2 linked regions of the Schizosaccharomyces pombe genome follow. The gene in region 1 interacts genetically with each later gene. Each region holds a gene or a part of one and is shown on either strand. Other genes may lie near its edges.

Region 1 (3,931 bases):
AAAAATAGAAAAAGACAAATGTAATAAGATCTGCAAAATTCACACAACTTTATGTTTTTGTTCACATGTTACATTCAACTTTATGTTTATTCACATGACTTGATGATTTTATTTTGGCGGACGCAGAGTTTGCCAAATTGAAGGAAATAGAGTTGTGTCTGATATGGATGCGAAAGGTATGCGAGTGGCATAAAACTGGCATCCCAGTGTTACAAAATATATATTTTTTTTTAATATTTAGTTATTCATTTACTTATTGGGTTATATTTACAAGACAGTGTGATGATAATACAAATAATAGAGTGGAGTATGTTATACGAATAAAGTATGTTATGAAAAGTTTCTAATAAATAAATTATGCTATTCCGTATGTTGTATAAATGAAGCTGCTATAAAGTATGTTAAAATTGTATACTAAAAGAATACAAGGTGGATTATGTAGTAAGAAAACAACGAGTCTTACTAGCAAGTTTATAAACTTTCCTCGGGATGAGCGATAGCATAAGTTTTGCAAGGTAAAGGACATCGGCAGTGTCAAGAGGAAGAAGTCGATAAAAAGGAAATACTCGATCAAAGAACTTTAAAATAAATTAAGGAAAAAGAAAGAAATTACCCCAATTATTTTTTAGTATTATTTTTATTTTTATTTTTCTTCTTTCTTTCTTTCTTTTCTTATCCTATTTCTCTTCTTATCCCATGCCTTACCCTACCTTTTCATATCTTACCTTGCCATCCCTTCTATTTCATCTACTATTACCTCTGTCTTGTAACACTTGATGGATGCGTGCATCAGTGTGCTCTCTTTCATGGGTGCTCGCTTCTTCCTCCTCTTCGTCCATCCAAATTAGGTACGTTCGGAGTTGATCATGATTTCGGATTTTCAATTTTTTTTCTCAGACACTCGTCTCCAGATACCCATGTCGTCTCCAAAGCAACCTGTTACTCGTTTGCGAAAAGAAAAAAATACCTTGGCAAGACAAGGCAAGCAGGCATCTCTGCCCAACATTTACTAGCAGACCAAATCGCGAACATGTCAGCTTTCTAACGTTCATCCTTCACTTACTGGAAATGGGACAGAATGCTCTCGTCGAGGATTTAACGTTAAAGGTTATTGTTGAGTTGACAAAAGGTGGAAGAAGCGAACAAAAGAGTTGGTAAAAGAAAAAAGTTGCCGCTAGCGAGTCCACCCTCTACCAATAGATCAAACGTGCCAAAAGACATATGGGATAGCAAAGGCCCAAACTCCCCCAACCCAACCTAACCTAACCTAACCTACCTAAGAGTAGTGTTGAGTAGAATGAGTTTCAGTACTTTGAGTGCGAAAGGAGTAATGAGTTTTGTTGGATGGATAAGAGCAGGGAAGCGCCATCATACGAAGCGGCTTAACAGTGAAACCGAAATTCTCCATGAGCAATATTTAATGAATATCTCACGATGTGATTGGAAAGATGGCAACCATCGATACGAGGTCATTTTTCCGAATGCCTGAGATGATAGAAAAAAGTTGCGCCCTTTTTGGCTATATATTTCTATCCTCTTTGACCCGATGTTCCTTACATGTTTCCGGGGGTGTACCTTGGATCGCTCTATTTTATCATTTAACGTTGTTGTCATTCGTGCACTAAATTGATACACTATTTTCACCCCTACTTTACGAGCCACCACTACCACCAACTCTGGCCACTTCCAATCTCAACTTGAAACAACATTAGACAACCGAAAGTTCGATTTCAATGACGAAGGAATGGGAATGTCGAAGAGAGCAGATCATCGAGCTTTCCAAGATCAATGGAATGACGATTCGCGAGCTGCAGGCGAGAATGTCAAAGATGTATAAATTTGACGCTAGGTAAGTAGTTTGTTGGTGTCGCCGCAGGGACTACAAGTTGCGCCATTTTGTGCGAGATGCTTGCGATGCGACGAGGAGCGAATAAGTACAGGGCTAGAGGTACGAGAAGGTGAATGGAATTGTGTGTTTGGATGTTTGGGTGTAGGTCGTCGTTGTGTGTCGTGCCTGCATGGACATTGGCTATTGTTGGGTATGTGGGGTTGCGACAATAAAACAGGATGGCAGTTTTCCAAAACATCCTCAACTGAGACATTCATTCAACAATGAAATTTTGTTTCTTTGTTTCTTTGTCTTTTTGGTTTGCTGTTTTGTTTGGAATATCTTTTTTTTCATCCACTTTGTCCAATCCACTTACATACAGGATACAAATGTCCTAAACAATAACCCGTCATGTATATCATGTGCATGCTCATGCAAAAGACCATGCCATATGAATCCATCCTGTTTTCCTTTCCTCTATTTCATTTGGCGTTGCGTTGAAGTTGTCTTTCGCTACTTCGTTTTCGCTCACGTTTATGTTCACGTATCGCGTACTTGTCTCTTTAGCTCTTTTTTTTTGTTGTTTTGTTTCATTACTCTTGCTAACTTTTCTCTAGTATTCGCTCATACAAACGCGTGTTGGCTCGATGGGGAATTCGAGTACATCGTCAACGTTTTGTCTCGCCCCGAACCGAAGAGGCCGCCGCGCGAACCGCTTCGGGCGACGTTTCAAAGGCTCTCGATGAACTCGTTACCCAATTATTTCATGCGCGACAAAGTGATAAAGATTCTTTGGCCCAGATAGAGGCGAACTTTGGTTTAAAACTTTCGAAACGTGCTTTGCATTATCGTCGTAAGAGATTAGCCTTAAAGCGTCCTCCTCCTGACTCCCACGATTCTCCCAATAACTCTATCCCTTTGATGGCCAACTCTTGTCTTTTGTCTGCTGATAACTCTTCGTCGTCTACAACTTCCAATCCTAACGTTGCTCCTCCCATTAGCACTCTTCCTGATCCCGTCGCTACTATATCATCTTCTTCTTCGAGCCATTTAGATATGGGTGCCATCCATCCTCCTCACCATAGCTCGCTTCCCCCTCACATGGGTGTGGATCCTTCAACTATGGCTGATGCACACAATGCGCACTCTTCTTTGACTCCTCCACAGTCTGGCTATTCTAGCATGCCATCTCTTCCTTATTTGCAGCAGCCTTTCCAAATACCCTCTCAACGTTTCTCTCGACAGCAACAATCTCATCCATTCCCTGCTGCTCAACATGCCGTTAACGGTCAGCCACAAGCTTTGTATCCTTTCATCTACCAATCTAGAAATGTCCCAATGGGCTCCACCATGTTTGCTTCTTCAAACCAATCTGCTGCTCATCCTGACGGTAATAATGCCCTTCCAATGGACAATACTCATGCCAACATATCCTATATGCAATCATCACAATCGATGCCTGTTAATTCTTATTCCTATGATCGATATACTCCAAATCAACCATCTTATCTTGAAAGTAAGCCTGGAAATCACCAACCCAGTTATACATCTGAACAACCTATGTATTCTACAGCGTCGGTTCCTCAACAAATTTCTAACGGACCAACTGCTGTCAATGGATTACCCATGAATTCATACACACCTCATTCCAATCATCTTCATTCACCCTCTCCTAACTCAAATTCAGGGCCTACTGATTCTTTGTCTGCTCCTAATTCTACATCCAGCCCTTCAATGGCGCATGCAAATGGAGCTTCTTTTGCAAGTCAGTACCCCTCTCTAAACAAGTCCATTTTTCCAGCTTCATATTCTTCTTCAGCGGAGGATGGGCAAAACATGCAAGCACCAGCACATGCTTATATGCAGTCTTCCATTTACGGCGTTAATCAAGAGCAAAAGTCGGAATATCCTTCTAATCTTTCAATGCAGTCTTCCATGTCAATTAAAGACCCCTCCCAGTTACAGCGTATACACTTATACCCTCAGCATTCTCAATACGATCCTAATGGAATGACTATGCGCGATCACTATTCTGAACGAATTGAACCGGAGGCAAAACCATCCGATGAAACTCTGACTGTCCGTTCATCTCGTGATTTATCT
Region 2 (3,931 bases), on another chromosome or scaffold:
ATTTTTTTTGGTGATTAAAGTCATAAAAAAAGAGAAATGGACATGATCAGTCACCTTTTTTAAAAAAACAAAAATACGACCCCCTCAACTTTTAAGGCTAAATTTTACATATGAATGCAGTCTACATCCCAAAAAAAATAATAGCTAAACTTTTAACATTGTACTTTTGGGATAATTTTCAACCATTGACAAAATCAATATACAATTCTATATAACATGTTGAAGGAAATAAATTTAGCTTAAAATTATAATTATTATGCTTTTTTTATGAGGTATAGGGCGCAATTATGAAAGAAATACGGGCGCTTAAATACGAATTTTAAAGAAAAATGTTAACAATAAATAAATACAATTTGACTTTTCTATAGTACGGAATTCAAGAAAAAAAAAATGTCTGTTACATTATTTACTGACTATGCTCTTTCGATTTTTGTTTTAAATTAGATTTTACTTGCCGGCGTCTTGCATAAAAAGGGAAACATAAAAATCCCAGATATGCAAAACTGAGAAAGTATAGAGCGAATTACACAAAGAAAAGCTGTAATAGTTATAACTATAACTTTCATAATAAGTATGTAATGACACACTTCATTTTTTATAAGTGTCTGACGTCGAATACTTTCCTAATCAAAAAATAGGAGAAAAACTAATATAGGTAAATACCAACATGAAACAAGTCATTTAAGAAATATTCATTAGAAACATTTGAAGATTAACTTCAGAGACACTGTCGGCATCCACATAGTCATCTAGAAGTCTGGAGTTGACAAGAGGTTTGCCTTTGTACATCAAACGGATAGAGGAAGGTTGCGTAGATAACTGAGATGCTAAAACTTCTTTAAGCTCCAAAATTGTAGACTGTACATTTATTTCAGTAGATGCTTGTTGAATGGGAGGTCGGACAGTTTTCGCAACAACATGAACTAGATTTTTAGTTAAAAGTAGTTATTTAAGCAGAATTTACCTTTCTTTTCCTCGAACAAAGCTAAATTTCCTTGAAACTCGACCAGTGGAGCAGGAATAGTGATCTATAAAACTATTAGTTTCAATAGCATATTTGTGAAACAAGAATCATTATTACGCACCGAAATAGCAGTTTCATCTATTTTTTCAATTGGAATACTATCAGGGTGATTCCTAGGGGTCTTTGAAAGCTCTTCTAGAAACGATTTAACAATTTGTACCTCGCTCATGGTGATGGTGGAATGTCAAGTTTACTCAAGCTAATTATCAAGTGTCCTAAAACCACTAAAGAGAAAATCTCGAAACAAATATCATACAAAATGCCATTAGTTCCAACTTTGACAAACAACACATCAAATCTGACGTTCAGTTTTTGATAATTATGTTACAATGCTGCTAACCGACAAATTTAAGAGTCCAAATCCTTGATGTAATAGCGCTCAAGTTCAACATAAAGTATTCTATAACTTCGTCTATTTCATGCCTTAAGCTTTACAACCTCGCGAACGTAGTTTACTCAGAATTGTCAAAAAGAATAATAATTATGATTTTAAAAATTTACTGTTAAATAAATTATTAAAGTCATAAGAAATCTTTGCATTGTTAATAAAGTTGCTGTTGCAAATACTATCCATACAAGTTTCTGAAAGTTAAGAGTTTAGTAGTTTTTAAATATTGTTTCCCTAAATGTTTTGCTTATCATTATAGCAAACAATAAAGCTAAATAGTTTAATTGTTCATTTCATGCTTTCATCTTATTTCATAGGCACATAAAGTATCTTTGCGTTTTACTTCGATTTTTTAAAAGAGGTTGTATTCCTTCATGTTTTTAGATAAGATTGCTATGGAGCAGTTTTAGAAAAGATGCGTATATAAAGACAGACAGATTAGAACTTAAGCAAGTAAAGTGTGAAGTAGTTGTATACTAATTAGAAAGATGATATAACCAACCTTACTAGAGCCATAATCTTTAATCAGCCCTGAAATCGTCTTGTTCGAATCATTTGTTTTTTAAAAGGATTGATTATTATTGTTTATTTCTCCTTAATATTTATCAAAAACTCCAAATCGCTGTATAGGTAGCATGGTATACATATATTCACTCAACCTACATTTCTAATCAATCACGCTTACAATGGCTTCTCACAATTATGAGACGCCACTCAAGAGCTCTTCCTTTCAACATTTAGTTGGTACACTTTCTCAGCGACGGCATTTTACCCCCTCTAGAAGCAGGTATACTCCACGTTCTGCTCAACGGACTGTTACTCCTCATAAACGGAGAGCTCTTGCACGCAGGAATAGTCTAGCAAGGAGAAGGAGCAATGTGTTTTCCGCAACAACTCCTAGAGACATTCTCAGAATGCTCAGTCGTGCGCTGGCAAAAAATCCAGTACCATCACCAGCTGAATCAGAATCCTCCGAGCGACGACATACTCCACAAACTAATAGTCAAAAGTCTCAAAAGACACCAAGATTGTCTTCGAATAAGCGTCGGACTTTAAAAAATGATGCTAAACAAAGGAATTCCCAATCTCCAGGTACCGACACTAGCGATGCAAATCTGACGATACAATCCATCGAAGCTCCAAGGCGTGCTCCACAGCGCCTTAGCGACTTTTTTACACCAGATGGAAGGCGTGTCAGTAATATTCGTGATTCTCTAATCTCAGAAAAACGATTAGAAAATAATATTGACCAAGTTCAAGAAAGCGCGTTAAGTACCGCTTCTAGTAATCGACTCATAGATTTAAAAAATGACGAAGTTCCTATTTTTCGCATTCCTTTAAGTGATTATGAAACAGATGACATGGATGACGGTACACCTCTCCAACGCCATGTTGCGACCCTGAACCAATATCAAAGTCCCATTTTTAATTTAGGCCCGGACATTTTAGAAGATGAACCATCTTACTCTTCAAGAGCTTCCAGATCCCGTCAATCATCTCTCTCTTCTCGATTATCTGAGTTACCTTCTAAACGCGCCAGCCTTGAGATTTTAAGGCGCGAAAATACTTTCCCAGCCGATCCAATTCAGGAATTTGGTGAAAAAGCATACAATGAAAGAGAATTGATGGAAGAAATCTCAAATTTTGAACCCTTACTAGATGATAACTTGCTTGAAAATGCCAACGAAGCTGTCAATTCCCCAGTAGTAGACGCACCAATGGATGCTGATTCTGCTTTAGAAATACCCAATGATGAAGATAATGGGGAAATTCTAAATAAACTAAAAGATTCTCCGTTTAAAAAACCTAAAAGAAGATATTCCAAATCTTCAACACTTGTGCTACCGGAAACAAATATTAGGAAGTTGGCTAATTCCTATTCACAGAAAAAAATTGCTGGATCAGTGATTGAAGAACTAACTACAGCTTCTGAACTCTTTTTCAAACAGATCGCGAATGACCTTTCGGCTTTTGCAGACCATGCTCATCGGAAAACAATTGACACGCAGGACGTGGTTTTACTTATGAAAAGACAAAGGAAAATAAGTGAGAAAAAATCCCTATCCTCTCTAATGCAGCAATATTTATCGCGTGAAATTGCACCTCCGGCAATTAAGAGAACCTAATGCGTACTTCTCCTTTACATTCATCCCTGTATATTAGAATTTTTTTCATCGTTTTACCTCTTTGGATGTTAAGATTTTTTATTAATAGTTAATTTAATGATTATTTATATTTATTGCTATTTTTATATTATTAATTAATTGTAAGGCACGTCTAGAAAATTTGTTTTCTTAGGAAATAGAATTATTTTCAAAATTTGCAACCTATGCAAGAACGCTTGATTCGATACACTTACAAGTTTGTTTAACAGCTTTTGATTATTTGTAATTTAGCCAACATTTATTTTCGTCCATTAGTTAAAATTACATGATCAAGTAAATAAATTTCATTATCTGCTAACTGCAAGAAACATTTATTTTTATAATTTTTTTTAGTATTTGAAAGATGAGTTTGCA

What was found.
Region 2: of clr5 (region 1) and cnp20, a mutation in one rescues a mutant of the other (synthetic rescue), as found in Schizosaccharomyces pombe (one large-scale study listed by BioGRID).

The regions. Positions count from the first base shown.
Region 1 is NC_003424.3:5,426,674-5,430,604, forward strand, and holds the start of clr5 (silencing factor Clr5), read left to right. Parts: upstream 1-1,682; 5' UTR 1,683-1,733; coding exon 1,734-1,849; intron 1,850-2,445; coding exon 2,446-3,931.
Region 2 is NC_003423.3:277,566-281,496, forward strand, and holds cnp20 (centromere receptor protein cnp20), read left to right. Parts: upstream 1-1,917; 5' UTR 1,918-2,098; coding exon 2,099-3,538; 3' UTR 3,539-3,682; downstream 3,683-3,931. Other genes in the region: SPOM_SPBC800.12C (ubiquitin family protein), read right to left, coding at 682-923, 965-1,028, 1,086-1,193.